Cricetulus griseus: one gene and its partners. Each later gene encodes a partner of the first gene's protein in a complex. Links are inferred from orthologs where the notes say so. Each region holds a gene or a part of one and is shown in the gene's direction. Other genes may lie near its edges.

Region 1 (4,625 bases):
ACTATGGTAGTTATACACTCTTCTACTCCTGGCAACTGCTGATCCATTTTCTGTTATTATACTTGGCATCTTTAAAACAGAAAAACTATGCCATGAAATTGCAAGTGTATAATAGATGTTTCTTGATAATAGTGTCCTTCACTCAATGATTTTGAGATAAATTGCATCCCTTTTTCTTGGTTAGTAGTATTCCCTTGTCTAGATATGCATCAGTTTCAGTATTCATTTGCTCATTGAAAAGAAATTAATTTTGCTTGCTCTAAAATATGTAACTCAATTTTATAGAACTAATATTTGAAGGCGATGCAGTTCAAATCTGGGTTGTGGTTAACATTGGATACATTTTAAATAATGTATGGATGAGTCTACTTACTTCATTCTTTTGTTATATAGGTTATCAGTGGGCATCTCGGCTGGGTCCGATGCATTGCTGTGGAACCCGGAAATCAGTGGTTCGTTACTGGATCTGCTGACAGAACTATTAAGGTAGTAAGGAAGATGTTGGGTTTGTTTCTTAAGTTACTTCCTAGAGAGGATGATGTTATAGGTTTTTTTAAGATTGCTACATGCTGTAAAATTTACTGTCAAAACTGGTAACAATGCTGTTTTGCAAAGTGGCATTCAAAGTTGCTTTGGAAGCATGTTACTAGCCTTTTGTTAATTCTGTGTAACTGTTACTGAAGGAACTTTTCATCCTGGTTACAAAATGAACTCAGAGTTCTCTGTAGAGGTAGATGTAGTGAAAAGTGGAATAAGAGAGCCTAGACTGGCAGGTAGTACTATCACTGGTGGACAGACCCTCAAACGGATTTATTTTCGTATGTCTTTCTATTATTATTATTATTATTATTATTATTATTATTATTATTATTATTGAGTCTTGTTTTTCTCACATAGCATCATCTTGAAGGTCTATTCTTATGAAAAATTCAGGATTTTTAAATGGGTAGAATGTGCATATAATTCTATAAACTGTTCCTTACTGCTCAACATTAAAATTTTTAGTTTGATAATTTTCATTGGAATAAGCTTGCATTTGTTTTACATAGACTGCTTTTTGTATATTGTATTTTTGTTTAGATAGTCTACAAATGTTAGGACAAATGTCTTAGAACTGGTATGGAAAGTGCAAATTTCTTTCCAAAGTTAGTGAGCTGATAGTTGGTCCATCATGCTGACCACATAGCTCGTCAGAGGAGTGCACTTAATGTGAGCACTGGAAATGGACAGACACACAGACATGTAGTGAGGGTGAATATTTTTATCTTTGGTACTTTTCTGGATTAAGTTGCTATTCCCTCAGTATGGATAATGCTGTGTTGTTGGTATTTTCACAATCAGTAGATCTTTTTATGTATTGAGAGTAGTAACCTCGTCCTTGTCACTTTTTGCAAATACTTACCAGTCTGAATGTGCCTTATTTTCCCTCTTATATGGAGAGGCATCATTTTAAAGAGTCTGAGTGTTCTGATTTTGTGTGTGTGTGTGTGGGGGCGGTAACCAACGTAAAGAAAAACAACTATTTGATTTCAGATTTGGGACTTGGCTAGTGGAAAATTAAAGCTGTCATTGACTGGCCACATCAGCACAGTGCGGGGTGTGATCGTAAGCACAAGGAGTCCTTACTTGTTCTCTTGTGGAGAAGACAAACAAGTGAAGTGCTGGGATCTTGAGTATAACAAGGTAAGCTTAGAGCAAAGGTGTTCAAACTGCATGAGCCACAGTTCATTGTGTTTATACTGCACTACTGGGATTGAATCCAGGGCCTTTTGCAAGCCAGACCAACTCTCTGCCTTGGAGCTGTATCCCCAGGCCCCAGTGTTGATCATTCTAATTTTATAACTCGGAACTTCTGCTTTTATCTTCAGGTTATACGGCACTATCATGGCCATCTAAGTGCAGTGTATGGTCTGGATTTGCATCCAACAATTGATGTCCTGGTGACTTGTAGTCGAGATTCAACTGCCCGGGTAAATGAGATGTAGCTGTGTGCTAGTTGTTGGTGTCTGTATCTTCTCATATGCAAACTTGATATTAGCATGTTATTTTCTCATAAAGAACAATAGATTCTTGATTTATCAACAGTCTGGTCTCTTTTAGGATTGGTGCCTTCTCTGTTTGTTCTGTTTGCTGTTGTCAATGTCCTGCCACTGAATTGTGACAGCTTTGTATTCTTGGCCTGTGGTTCCCAACCTGAGGGTCTTGACCCCTTTGAGGGTTGAACAACCTTTTCAGAGGGGTTATAAGACCATTCTGCTTATCAAATATTTACATAATTTACAAAATCATAATTTACAAAAATTATGATTCATAACAGTAGCAAAATTATGGTTATGAAGTAACAACAAATAATTTTATGGTTGGGGTTTACCACAACATGAGAAATTGTTTTAAAGGGTTTCAACATTAGGAAGGTGAGAACCACTGCTCTAGGCCATCACAATGTTTGTTCATTACCAGCTTAATTCTCTTGTCCCATTGTGGGACTAAGCTGATAGGTCAGTATCCTGATCTTTAGACTTCTGTCTTTCCCCATAGCACGTGGATCATTGTCTCCCATTTATGCATTCTCTTCGTTATGTTCAGATACACTGGTGTGGAAAACTTAGAGCTCTCAGGTATAAATATCTATTATTTTTCATAGCATGTTGGTTATATTTTTACAGATCTGGGATGTGAGAACAAAAGCCAGTGTCCACACTTTGTCTGGACACACGAATGCAGTCGCCACTGTAAGGTGCCAAGCTGCAGAACCACAGATAATTACCGGTATGCTAAGCTTCTCCACCCTACTGTCTCTTCATACCAGATGCACTGCCATTCAGCGCTGTAGCTCCTCCAACTCCTGCTTTGTGTTGTGTTCTAGTGTCACTTTGTATTTTAATCATGGCATTTGAAACTTATGTGTTAGGTGTTATGAAAGATGTCTATAAAACTGCCATTAGATAGTCAAGTGTTGCTCTAGAGTGTCATGACTCTCATTCTAGGGAGTTAAAGTTAGAAAATACCCTGCCACCAACATCTTCAGATCTGGTCTTACTTGAGTCTTACTTGAATGACTGGGACTTTACTGTGACAAAACATTCTTTCACTTGGTTTTGTTAATTAGAAATATAAGATGAAATAATTCAGCTTTTCCTTTCCCAGCCACTGGGGGATAAAATTACATGTTTGGTTCATTTGCTATTTATATATTTTGATAGGTTAATCAGGTATTTATTTTTCTTATTTTTAGATTTATTTGTAGAAGTGCTTTGCCTGCATCTGTGTATGTACATTATGTGTGTACCTGGTGCCTACATAGATCAGAAGAGAGTGGCAGATTCTCTGGAACCGGAGTTACAGATGGATGTGCATCACTGTGTGGGTGCTGGGAACCAAACCAGGCTAAGAAGTGCTATTCAACACTGAGCCTTCTCTCTAGTGCCTCAATCAGGCATTTTAAAAAGAACTAGATATAAAGTAAAACTGTAAGGAAAGTATTCACAGTGGTAGGACTTCTACTTAGTGTATGTTTATGTACAGAGGAGTGCTTTGTGTTTACTGTATTCTAACTTGTGGATTCTGTCATTGTCTCTCTGTCGTGTCCGCGCGCGCCCCCCCCCCCCGTGTGTGTGTGTGTGTGTGTGTGTGTGTGTGTGTGTGTGTGTCTCTCTCTCTCTCTCTCTCTCTCTCTCTCTCTCTCTGTACTTGTATTCATGTGTGTGTGTGTGTTTTCGTTACAGGAAGTCACGACACAACAATACGATTGTGGGATCTGGTAGCTGGAAAGACAAGAGTAACATTAACCAATCATAAGAAGTCAGTCAGGGCTGTGGTCTTACATCCACGACAGTAAGTATGTTTTGCTAATTAGCTTTTCTTTCTCCATGCCTTAGTGAACTCCAACATCAGCACTGCTTTTGCAGTCCTGCAGCCTGTGCTGCTTTTGGACAAACTTTCTTTAATTTTCTGTCTGCTGCTATTTTACTTCACGCCCTGTATAGAATGAAGGAGGAAGTCTCTACATAGTGACAAATAAGACTAAGTCATGCTTAAAACTGCATGTTAAAGTAGGAGGTAATAATGGCTGAGTATGTTTTACTTTTTACATGTCATAGATGGTGCCATATATGGTATCTTGTAATGTCTGAGACAGACACAGAATAGTTTAATCCTTTAGGAAGAAGTTAATGTACAGGAGGGGAAGATCGAAGAAGAGCCATTAACATTGCAGTCATGATTGCCAGAGAAGTCAAGCATACAGTCACAAGCTGTTCCTCAGATCCGGCCACCTTTAACTCACCCTCTGCTGGGCCCTTTCCCTCCTTTCTTGTCCCCTCTTCTCCTTCCTTTTATTTTTATTTCTCTTTCACCTTCCCTCTCTTCTCTCCTTTTTCCCCAAAATTATCATAGAGGTTTTTGCCCATTGCATGTGTACGTTGGTTGTGCTAATTTAGTGTAGAAAACCGGAAGAAATGAAAACATTACTCTAGGATTTAAAATGCACTTCTGCAATTTGAAAGACTGGTGGAACTTGGGATGGAGATACTGATTTTGCAACTTGATGGACTTAGCAGTTTACTGAAGCTGTCTGTCTGGGCCAGTAAGCAGACAGTGATTTTTTGAACCTGGGAGATTTTTGT
Region 2 (6,022 bases), on another chromosome or scaffold:
AGGCAAAATCTGTGAGCCAGGGAATGTTACTTGACATCTGTACAGCATGATGCACAGGCCCAGGATGTCAGCCCTCAGCTACATTTCTTTTCTGTACAAGAGATTCCACCCCTCTCAACAAGAACATATGTTCCCAGAAGGAAGAGACCTTGTTTTATTCAAAGCTCTGGGGAGATGAGATGGCTCCGTGTGTAAAGCACTTGCCTTGGAAGCACGAAGACCTGAGTTTGAATCCCCAAAGTCCGTGGAAAGTCAGGCACAACATCATGCATCTCTAACGCTATTGCTCTGTGCTGAGATGGGACTTGGGGACAATAGACTCTCCTGAAGCCAATGGAGCATCTTAGTCTTGTCTACACAGGGGCAAACAACAAAGAGACTGTCTCAAGGTGGAAGGTGAGTGAAGATTAAGGTTGTAGCGTACGCTAAAGGATGAATCAGTCCCCAGTCCGTGACGGTAAGATTTCTTTATTCAAGAAAGCACCAGGGCAAAACGCAGGCCAGAGCGAGGTTATAGGAACCCAGCCAGCGCGGCCAGAAAAGAAGAGCCAGGGTCTCCACGTGCAGCCCTTAAGAAGCTCCCTTACGTCACCCCAGCTTTCCTTCACCACGCCCTTATGGGCGAGTCCCGGGTCCACCTGGTACCTGTCCCAGGACTACTGGGCGGGGCTAGGGTGTCTCCCTACAGGTGAGTACCAACACCGGAGGCTGTCCTCTGACCTCCACGCGTGAGCCATGGCGTTTGCCCGCCCACACTTGCATGTACACACACTCACATCCCTCCCTAATACAAGCACAAGTGAGCTTCATCCTGAGTCAAGAGTTGCATCTAGCACTGAGTAGGTTCTTACTAATTATCTGTTGATTGTATTATTAATTACTTGTCCTGTTATAGATGAGAAAACTGCAACTTGGGGACATGGGAAGTAACTTGGCCAGTCTAGCTATGGCAGAAAGCTGGCTAGCCAGAGAAGTAGGAGTGTTTAACAACTGGCTCTCTGGGAGAATGGCTGACAGCTGTGATTTGTAGCATGGGTTGATCTTCATGACACAAATACTCCATCGTCGTGGGTGTTTCCAAGCTGATGTAAACTTGCTGGAAGATTCTCTGAAAACGAATTCTGGGTTTTTGCAAGGGTGTCTATCGAAGCTGACTGAATCAAGGCACAAACTAGGACACAATTTTGTTCATGGCCCAAAGGATTTGCTCTCACTGTTACTCTGTCCTGCCTCCCTTGAGGTCACAGTCTACACTTATAGGAATGGGAGGGGAAAGGCATGCAAATGAACTCTGTTAAATGCAGTTTTCGCAGGCCACCCTTTAAAAACAGAAACCCAGTCAGAAAACATCCCTGTTTAAACCATCTCAACAGCTTCCCAACGTAGGCAGCCTAAAATCCATCCTCCTTACCAAAGTTTACAAAGTCCATGGTATGAAGATGAAGATGACACATTCAATCCCAACTTTCAGAGAGTCTGAAGTCCAATTAGTAGAGGCTGCCAATAAATAAAACATCAACCATCAAGTACAAAATGACAGATTGAGACCTGTGAGCAGCAGAGGAAGTGCTAGCAGAAAGGTAACGAGGAGAGGATTTGGCAGTCTGCGGAATAACAATTTCCTTACAGTTGAATGGGGGGTTCTGGATGGGCTCTCATGTAATCCCTGAAGACAAACTCTTTAACCCTTTCAATAATGGGCAGATTTCTTTCCCAGAAACCTCTTTTTATAAGAATGTGGGTGTATGTGTGTATTTGCACACATGTATGCTGCTGGGTGTTCACCGAGGCCAGAAGAAAGCATCAGATCCTCTAGAACTAGAGTTTCAGGCAATTGTGAGCTGTCCTTGTTGGGGGTGCAGTAAATGCTCCTACATCGCTGAGCCGTCTCTCCAGACCCCCATTAGCCTTTTCAATACTACTTGGGTAGATAGGAGATCATGCCATTGCCATTGGGTAGACGAATAGACAGAAGCTCAGAGGCAAATGTGATATCAACGGTTTCTCAGCCAATAATAATCTATGGCCAGGTGCCATTTCGTGAGCCAACACTAACCCGTGGACGCATGAAGGCACCCCAAAACAAAGCCCGCATAAGCAGGCCGGGCGGTGGTGGCGCACGCCTTCAACCCCAGCACTCGGGAGTCAGAGGCAGGAGGGTCTCTGTGAGCTCGAGGCCAGTCTGGTCTACGAGAGCGAGTTCCAGGACAGCCTCCAAACCAATAATAAAGAGAAACCCTGTTTTGAAAAACCAAAAAGGAAAAGAAAGAAAAAGGAAAAAAAATCCGCATATGCAATTTTAGCGTATTCCAAACCTGTTTCTTTATCTGGAAGCCTAGTAAGGGTGTGCACACCCGCCCTGCCCTGTGCCCTCCACTTAGGTTAGGATCCTTTACCTAAGTATCCGCCCCCTTTCCCGCCCCTTCAGGATCCCGGCGGAAGCTGCAGAGTCAAAGCGCGGCGCGCTTTATGGTCGCACTTCCTTTCACGGCAGTGTGGCGGTCCCGCCGGCCTCGCGCTCTCTTACTCTATTGGTTCTGAGGCCCCTCTCCGGGCGCTTTACGGCAGTGTGGCAGGAAAAGCCGCTGAGCCACCGGTGGTTCCGGAGTGAGTGGAGGTAACCAGGGCACCCTGTGCTGATTGGGTCTGGAACCATGGACGTGGGCGAACTTTTAAGCTACCAGGTAAGTGAAGTTGGCAGGGCCGGAGGGCCCCTCATCCCCGCCGGGGTCGCAGGGCCAGAGTCCCGTCATCTCGCCTCCTCTGGGTCTCTGGCCCTCACTTCTCATGCTACCCGGGGTTCTAGCCTGTCATTGCACTTGGCTTGCCGAAGCCCTCGCGGACCCTTTCGATTTCTTCCTTCTCCAGGCCTGTTCCCTTTGATCTCCCTTTCCTACCCGGAAGCCTGGTTCCCTTCTGCTCATCTTTGGTCTCGTTTCTACCAATTCGTAGGGCTTGAGGCAGGTGTGGAGAGCACTGCTTTTTCCTCCGGGTTGAGCCTCAGTTTCTCTACCAACTGCCGGTGTAGCTTTGGATGAGTCTTTACCCTGTCGCTGAGCCTCAGTTTGTTTGTTTATTTAAGTATATTACATGGATATATGTGAAAGGCCATTTGAAACCTTTGCTGATGTACCCGCAATTAAGATGGAAAATGGAGCATGGGATGGGGTCGGTAAGAGACTTCTTGACCTCCTTGCTCAGGGTACTGGTGAACCTGTGGCCTAGAAGGAAGAAAGGACTTGCCTGAGGTCACTAGACAATTACAAACTAGGATTAATTGGAACTCAAGGGTTCAGGCTCGAAATTCAAACTTTCTGCCCTCTTTTGACTGCCTAAGGCCTCGCATTTGCTAGTCTCAATAGTGTTGGAACCTGTGAACTGTAATTAGTTTGAATTAGGAAGTACTGTAATTATAAATTACACTGGATTTTAAAGACCAAATGAAAAAGGTAGTATTTTTATATTGATTACACGAATCTTGATCATTGGTCATATTAATTGAATCATCCTACGGGGTAATGGGTGAAGTAAAATATAATTGAAGCCATACCCATTTGTGTTGACTTTTTAAAAGTGTGGCTACTAGCAATAGCTCCGAAGTCAAGGATAGGCAATAATAAGGTGAACTTGAGTTGCTGCTGCCGAATGCCTTTAGTCTCAGCGCCTGAAAGCTGGGAGGTAGAGGCAGGAGGTGACTTCTAGGTCAGCCAGGGCTACATAGTGAGACCCCACTCCCCAAACATAAGACCTGAATTTGGAGCCCCAGGTTGCTTGCAATCTCCTTTTTCTTACTGATTGTTATAACTTTGAACAAAATACCTCATGATGCCGACCTCTTGGTCTGTTGGGAAGCTATTAAATTGTTAGACCAATGTTTGTTGCTTAGTAAAGCAGCCCATAAGTAGTAATATTGATGGTTATTTCCCTTAGTCAATATATAAAAGACTGGCCCCAGAGACAGAGACTCCAGACATAAATAGAAAGAATTTCTAAGCAACCAGAAGATGTGAGACCATAATATTTTTCTCTTTAAAATGTAGTGCCGGTGGTTGGTTGTGCACGCCTTTAATCCCAGCACTCAGGAGGCAGAGGCAGTCGGATTTCTGTGAGTTTGAAGCCAGCCTGGTCTACAGGGTGAGTTCCAGGACAGGCTCCAAAGCAGTACTGAGAAACCCTGTCTTGAAAAACCAAAAAGGAAAAAACAAAATGACAGCGTAGCTGGGTGGTGGTAGCACACACCTTTGCTAAGTGCTCCTCCCAGTGCTAAGGAGGCAGAGGCAGGAGGATCTCTGAGTTGGAGGCTAGCTGGGTCTACAGAACGAGTTCTAGGACAGCCAGGACTACACAGAGAAAACAAACAAAAAGACAGTGTATTTGATGATGGAATAAGAACAGTAGTGGGCAAGTCACTGATGAGTACTTATTTGGGAGTTATGGGCTGGCTAGTGGAGTCCATTGACTCCGATCTGAGCGGTACTGCCAGAAAAGTTCCATTCTTTGGTTACAGATATTTATTCAACATCCACTATGTACAAGGTACTGGGTCCACTGAGCATATCATGTGGCATAAATGAGACAAGGCTTTTACTTTTGTATGAAAGGCAAATATGGGGTGGGGGGAGTCTCCAAAGGACATTAAGTAAACAAGAAATTGAGATTTCTGGGAGTGTTGTGAAGGGAGGATAGCAGAATCCGCTGTGAAAATGTGAGCATGGTTTGAGGCCTGCTAGGCACATAACTGTTGGACACCAAGTGTGGCCCATCTGCATCCAGCCCCTTCAATATGTGTAATGCACACACTGGGCTTCAAAGCTATGAAAAAGGAGCCGGGCGGTGGTGTCACATGCCTTTGATCCCAGCACTCCGAAGGCAGAGGCAGGCGGATCTCTGTGAGTTCGAGACCAGCCTGGTCTACAAGAGCTAGTTCCAGGACAGCCTCCAAAGCCACAGAGAAACCCTTTCTGGAAAAACAAACAAAAAAAGCTATGAAAAAATGAAAATGAAGTATCTTAATTTTTATGTAGATTGCATTGATATAATGGATTAAGGGAAATAGGTTATTAAACTTAAATTTTGTGCTTACTTCAAAATTTCAACTTACATATAAAGTTTTTTTTTGTGACTTTCATTCTGTTTTTTTGGACAGCACTGCTGTAAATCACCCCTTTCAGGGCCTCTGTGGACTGAGTGGTCAGGGAGGGAGTGCGACAAACCAGCGTTAGTGCTCTGAAGGTTGAGAAGGAGTCGGTCATGATAGAGCAGAATGTTGAAGGCAGGAACAGCAGCTATGAGCATAGGCTCCAGGCCTATTAGGTGAGCAGAGATAAGAGCCATGTAGCCAGAACTTGGTATGAGAGCCGGATACCAGAAGGTGATGAAGCTGGAGATGTAGACAGAGGACAGTCTTTGTAGGACTTTCTGTGGGCCAGGAGAAAGCCTTTGCATTTTGAGAGGCGATACGGATGTCTTCATTCAACCCACTTGTTTTGAACAAGAACTCTGGTCTGATAGGCAGACATAGCTGAAGTCACAGGCCAAGGTGGTGACTGACAGGCCAAAGCAGTGGCTGACATGTCACCAGAATCTTGGTCTTGTATTTGCAGCTCTGTTCCTTTGAGCAGGGTCTACCTCCATTCCTCTCTTGAAAAGACAGTGGTGCCTGGAGTCTAGTTTGTAATCAGTCAAACACAGCCATCCTCCTGTGGGAAATCTTGAGGACCAGATGAGCTTATGGAAGTGAAAATGCTTAGAAGACAGTGATAACCTAACATGAAATAATTATTTACCTGCATCCTCACTAAATAGATCTATGAGGAATTTCCTTCCTGCCCCCTTTTTTTTGGTCAGGATCTTATGTAGACCAGGCTGTCCTCAAACTCACTATGTAGTCAGGGATGACCTTGGATTTTTTACCCTCCTGCACCACCCCCCAAATGCTGGGATTACAGGTGTGCACAAAACACCTGGTTTATGGTATGCTGTGGACTGGCAGGGTTTCTTGAATGTTTGGCAAGCACTCTAC
Region 3 (6,038 bases), on another chromosome or scaffold:
ATCCAGCTTCATTCTTCCACTGTAGAATGAAGACCAGTGGCTCTCAAGGAATCCTTCAGGCATTCAGAACCAGAATGGAATTGTTTAAGACTGTTGAGACATGCAGCCTTGTGGACTGTGTGACTACTCAGTGTGGACACCCATATTGCATCATGTAAGCCAATCTGGTAAACCCCCTTTTAATATATATTCATTCTATCAGTTCTGTTCCTATGGAGAACACTAGCTAATACAGACTTTCCAACTTCATTTCTTTTTTCTAAGTGTTTTCATTGTTTAAGTCAAAAACTTTATGGTATCATTTTCTTAGTATTTGCAAGTCCTCAAAGTTAAAAAAACTTTTTTGGTTTTCCCTTTCTTATTAATACTTCCAGACTATTTTAATCAAATGATTTTAATTTTGTGAACTAATTTTCTTTTGCTAAATTATAATGGAATCATCAAGTGTTAATTAATAAAATAAAAATTTAAATGGATTATTGAGGGGTTGATAAAGGCAGCTGGAATGAAAAAAAACTGGGTAGTTTCCTGTTACCATTTTGCCATAGAAATTTCATTCCTCCTTTATAACATGTCATTCACTCATTCAACCAGTACTTACTCAGCACCTGTTATGTACCAAGTACTGTTCTATATGCAGAGGACACCAGTGAATAATCAGGGTTCCTGTTTTTCTGGAATTCAGGTTCTACTGCCCTTAGACAGACAATAATAATATGAGTACCAGCCAATACTGATTTATCGAGTCTGCTTGCTGAGATAGTTCTAAGCACTTTACAAATACTTATGTAACCACTAAAGTACCAGAAAGAATTACCCCCAATTTTGCACAAGGAATGGAGGGCATCAAAGGGAAAATGGTTTATGCAACTGTACACATCGAGGGAGAGCAGAACTGGAGTTAAAGCCAAAAGAGTCACAGATACTTGTTCTCAATACTTTGGCTCAACCAAGAAGAAAAAGGTGCAAAAGGTAATGAAAACAAACAGTAAACCTAGCTGGTGTTCAGTATTATGAAAGTATAGAACTGGGGGCTATAAATCTATGCATAGGAGAAACACAGTATCCATGCCAGGGGAAATCCCACTGAGGAAGCAGCAGTGACTAAGACCTGAAAATAATGTCCTCACAGCAGTGTTGGGGACATAGGCAAAGAATACAGTGGGAAACTTTAAAAACTAGAAGATAGTATGCTTGCATTCTGGAGGCTGAGGATGGTCAGTCAGGATACATAGAACTTGCAGTTCAAAGCCAGCCTGGGCTACATAGCAAGACCTTGTCTCAAAACTCAAAATAAACAGGGAACCCTGCCTTGCTCTGAGAAACAGAGACGTCCTGTTGAGTGCATCTAGAGCATGGTGTACCCATGACTGACTGAAGCCAGGAAGGTGGGCATGAGACAGACTATAAAGAATCCTCAGAATCAAGTTAAGACAAGTGGCTGTTTTATCCTAAGTACCCTAACTCCGTCATTCTGTGCAAAACCTCAGGAAAGTCCATTTGGAAGCAATTTACAAATACAAGAGGAAAATGACAGCAGCCTGAATGAATGTGGTGACAGGGAAATGAACTTCAGGGTAATTCTCACAATACTGGACAAGATTGGCAAGTGAACGGGATGTGAAGAGTGACAGAGGTGGACCTTGGGCTTGAGCCGCTAATCTGATGGTGTTCTTAGGTTGTGTGAGGTTGAGGGAGGTATATAGCTTCCATGAGAAAAAGAAATGTTTTACCTTCCACTTGGGGGGGAGAGGGGGGACGGGGAAGGAGGAAGAGGGGGGGAAGAATCTGTTCTAATTTTCCTTCTTCATTTAAAAAGTTCCAAAGGAAGGCACCGAAATGTTCGATTTTAGGCGGTCCTTCCACTTGGGACAAACTGGAGAACGTACTGAGCATCTATCGTCTCCCAAGATCTCAAGGATAGGGCACCACCAAGACAACGATGAGGAAGCCATCTTAATTGCAGCTCATGCTCCTCCTGGCAGTTAAGCCCACTGTTCTCTAAACGCTGGCTGTCGTTAACGCTTACGGCCTCTCCCCTCACACTACGCGGCTTAATGCATATTATCTCTATGTATCTATATCTTAACAAGCAATGCGACTACGACCCCTGCCTCCGAGGATAGTGGTTTCGCAGGAATGGTACCTTTGGAAAGCTCGTGGCTGCCCCCGTACTTATGTGCGCCTTCTTCACATCCACTTAAGTGACAACTCTAGTCCCTAGGCTGCGGGGTCTACTGAGGAGCGGGAGCCGTTGGGCCAGCGGGCGCGCTCTCCTCAGATCTCACGCTTGCCCGACGCGGGGCCGACTCCCCGGCGCCTTCGGTCCTCGCAGCACCGCAGCGGAGGAGTCTGGGAGGGGGTCGGGGAAGGAAAAGACGCAAGACAGATTAAGTAATTGGCTCTCAAAAAAACACAGATATTTAGGTTCGACTCCCAAGCACCGGTTTCAAACACCCGCCCCCTGGGCCGCCCTGGCTCCGCCCCTCGACGACGTCACGCCAACTTCCTCCAGGGTCTCTGCGGATTGGTCGGCGCACCAGCCTCTGAGAAACGGTTACAAAAAACCCTCAGGTTTGCTTCCGGGTGTGGAGCTTAAGCTTCCGACGCGGCCGTTGGAAGTGCCAAGATTTTTGCTTCCGGGTCTTAACTGAGCCCCCCAGGTGAGGAGCTAGACGCCAAGCGGTTTGTTTCCGGTCTTGGGCTGGCTGCCCCGGCGCGGAGCTTTCTGGGAGCTGGGAGCTGCGATGGTTCGTGGGTGAGCCTCCCAAGGCGCTGCGTGGGACCCCGCCGGAGTGAGCGAGCGGCAGGGGTGCATGGGGCTTTGTGGTCCCTGCGAGGGTGGCGCCGGGGGGCCGGGATCGCTGCCGGGAGGACGGCCGGGGCCCCAGGCCCGGCATGGCGGTCGGGAGCTTCGGCCGAGCCCCGGGCGGGCACCGGCGCGGCGCCGGCCGCTGACACCGAGGAGCAGCAGGGCGGGATGGGGACGAAGCTCCTTCCCTCCGGGTCTGTCTGAGCGCGCTGCTCACGCTAACGGAGGCCTAGCAGCCCAGTCGGTCCGCCGGAATTCTGATGTGACAGCTCCAAGTTGAAAGTGGCACAAGGTTCTCTTGTTGCTGTAGCGACAGTCTCGTGTAGCCCCAGGCTAGCTTCGAACTCGTGCTTCTCCCGCTTTCACCTTCCGAGCGCCTGGGGTGGTCCCAGAAGTACACCCCAGTTCGGGATGGGCTCTTGATATTTCTCGGGGTGGGGTTTCGGTTTTCTGAGCACTGCTAAAGTTGCATCGTACCAAAGGTTTTCTACGTGTTAGGGTAACTGTTGGAGAAGAGAATTGCATCAACTGGGTTTTGGGTAGTGTGGCCCGCGTGAATGTCATTGGGTTTTAAACAAACTCACTCTGAGACACTAAAGTTTGAGAGTGATCCGTGACTTTAGAAGAAACTTGGTGTTTTGTTTGCGTATTTTTTTTTTCCTTTCGGTTTATTTACTGTTGTGTGAGGTTTCTCATAGAAATGCAGATCTTGGCTAGGCGTGGTGGTCCACACCTTTAATTCCAACTTTCCAGAGGCAGAGTTGGGTAGATCCCTGGAGGGTTCCAGGTCAGCCAGAGCTACATATTAAGACCCTATCAAAACAAAACAAACAAACAAATTCAAGAGAACCTAGTGCTAGTAAGATAAGAATTTTTAAAACAGTTATTTTTTTTAAAAGCCACATTACACTATTGTATGAGATCTGCCATCATTTGTCAGAATTGTCATAATAACACTACAGAAATATCAGCATTCCAGAGATGACAAAAACAAGCTAAGAGACTTGCCCAAGTCTACTTAGCTAGAACAAAAGCACAAACTCAGATCTTCAAATAAGTTTTGGGTTTTTTGTTGTTGTTGTTGCTTATTTGTTTGTTTTTTTTTAATTAAGAGCTGCCTGGCAGGACATATCTCATGTGCAACTTGAGTTTCATAATTCTGAACTTGTAGAAATTTGTGTTAAAACAAACTACTTAAGCAATTTGTGGGAGAGTTTTGGGAATTAGTCATAAGGATAGATATTTATGAATGATTTCTAAGATGAGAGTTCTACCGAATATAACTTAATCTCACTTTTGTCAAAGAATAAAAGATGACAACAGCAGCCAGGCCAACTTTTGAACCTGCAAGAGGTGGACGAGGAAAAGGAGAAGGGGATTTGAGCCAGCTTTCAAAGCAGTATTCAAGCAGAGACCTCCCCTCTCATACAAAGATAAAATACAGGTAATAAGGCCTTGGTTTGTCTTGTTCACAGAATGGGACCAAACCTGCATGACTTATGACTGTGTCTAGATTGTTGTATTTGTTACCTATCTTCAAAGAAATGGAATTCAAAGGGGTTTACAATAAATTATACTCTGTGGTTTTTAAGTGTTACTGGACGTTCTTTCAGTAGACATTCCTATCAACCAGAAATTCCTGTGTGTAGATGAAGCACTCATTCATGATAAGTACCTCAGAGAAGACTGAACTGTAGTGAATATGGAAGCGTTACTGTGACAGCCCTTGAGTTGATTAATAGTTTAAAAAAACAAAGACATTTCATTCAGACATTTCATGTTGGAGGAGAGTGTGTGCTTTAGTTTGTTCTAATAGTAATACTGAAAACATCGCAGGTGTCCCTTATTATCGTGTCCTCTTTCATTTTATTGGTCAGAGATAGTTGTATCCTAAATTGTCTTAAATTACTGTAGCCTTATAGGTTCTTTTCCTTGACAAGTGAGAGTAACATTTTTAACCCAGTTTCTTTCTTCTTAAGACAAACTACACAGGATGCCCCTGAAGAGGTTCGTAACCGTGACTTTAGGAGAGAGTTGGAAGAGAGAGAGAGAGCTGCTGCAAGGGAAAAAAATAGGGACCGTCCAACCCGAGGTACCTACACTGTTCTTAGTGTCTGTCTCAAAGTTATTTGGTGGAGATTGTTTGTGTGTTGGTCATTGGAGATGATGTTTTTGTGTACTATACCTCTTTGATAAATGATTAGAGATAATAATGACGTTCATTCCAGTTCCATCTTCTCATGCTTTGGTATTAGAAGAAATGGTGTTTCAAAGCCATCATTTCAGTACCTGTCGTTAGACTTTGGCTTTACAGCAGCTGGAACCCAGGCCTTCTATCCAGAGCTGCCCCATTTTATTCATTCCTCCATGTAGTTGAGATGCGTCAGTAACCCTTCTTGTGTTTCTAGTATGTATGAACATTGGCTAAGTTTCCTGAGATGCTGCCATCCTCATAACTCATTAATTCATTTAATATTTACTACCATATATTTATCAAAGGCTTATTTGCCAGCCATTGGGGGAATCCCTGCTGTCACTATGTTTTTTTTGTGTGGATTCTTTTTGCCCAAAAGTTTCTAAAATGTTATTTTAAAATGCAGTATTTGTTTCATTAAGCTAAATGTTTGTTTTCTTCAGAACATACAACTTCCTCTTCAGTGTCAAAGAAGCCCCGCCTAGACCAGATTCCAGCTGCCAACCTTGATGCCGATGATCCTCTCACAGATGTATGTAGTTTTGGGGTTGGCTTTTTTGTTGTTGTTCTCTTTTTAACACCTCCTAAGTGCTAGAAATGGGCCTCTGCCATTGGGCCCAACTTGTCATATTTTCTTTATTTTTTTTTATTTTGACTTTGTGAAATGATCGGTATTTATTTTTACCTACTGTTACTGAAATGTATCATTTACCTCAACTTTAAACTTAATAATTGTTTTTAAAACAAAGTATTCTTCTGCCTCAAATCTTTTACTAGAGGTTTAGTTTGGAGGGCTGCATGAAAGCAGTCTGTGAAAAAGGACATGCCCACCTGTGACTGAATTGTCAGTCATGTAGAAGGTTAAGCTGCCTTGCTGTAACTCCACAGGACACTCTCAGGCTGAGTGCCTATGAACAGCACCTTTGAGCATTCTACCTAGTTCTGCACTTTCTTTTCCTTAGATACCATGTCCTACTTAGACACATAATGCACATGGGCCCCTCAATCTGAACAGATTGAGCATAAATGCTT

Evidence for each region. The genes of interacting proteins can lie anywhere in the genome.
Region 2: Plrg1 (region 1) and Ctnnbl1 share a complex: the UniProt entries of both Homo sapiens proteins name them as parts of the PRP19-CDC5L splicing complex. The link is inferred for Cricetulus griseus from reciprocal best matches to the Homo sapiens genes PLRG1 and CTNNBL1.
Region 3: Plrg1 (region 1) and Cwc15 share a complex: the UniProt entries of both Homo sapiens proteins name them as parts of the PRP19-CDC5L splicing complex. The link is inferred for Cricetulus griseus from reciprocal best matches to the Homo sapiens genes PLRG1 and CWC15.

Annotation. Positions count from the first base shown.
Region 1 is NW_023276806.1:71,273,459-71,278,083, reverse strand, and holds part of Plrg1 (pleiotropic regulator 1), read left to right. Parts: intron 1-393; coding exon 394-486; intron 487-1,533; coding exon 1,534-1,683; intron 1,684-1,868; coding exon 1,869-1,970; intron 1,971-2,666; coding exon 2,667-2,769; intron 2,770-3,725; coding exon 3,726-3,834; intron 3,835-4,625. UniProt on the Homo sapiens protein: Involved in pre-mRNA splicing as component of the spliceosome. Component of the PRP19-CDC5L complex that forms an integral part of the spliceosome and is required for activating pre-mRNA splicing.
Region 2 is NC_048599.1:21,837,930-21,843,951, reverse strand, and holds the start of Ctnnbl1 (beta-catenin-like protein 1), read left to right. Parts: upstream 1-2,507; 5' UTR 2,508-2,654; coding exon 2,655-2,684; intron 2,685-6,022. UniProt on the Homo sapiens protein: Component of the PRP19-CDC5L complex that forms an integral part of the spliceosome and is required for activating pre-mRNA splicing.
Region 3 is NC_048597.1:127,973,799-127,979,836, forward strand, and holds the start of Cwc15 (spliceosome-associated protein CWC15 homolog), read left to right. Parts: upstream 1-2,523; 5' UTR 2,524-2,663; exon of another isoform or gene 2,664-2,795; intron 2,796-4,117; 5' UTR 4,118-4,125; coding exon 4,126-4,256; intron 4,257-4,791; coding exon 4,792-4,904; intron 4,905-5,449; coding exon 5,450-5,538; intron 5,539-6,038. UniProt on the Homo sapiens protein: Involved in pre-mRNA splicing as component of the spliceosome. Component of the PRP19-CDC5L complex that forms an integral part of the spliceosome and is required for activating pre-mRNA splicing.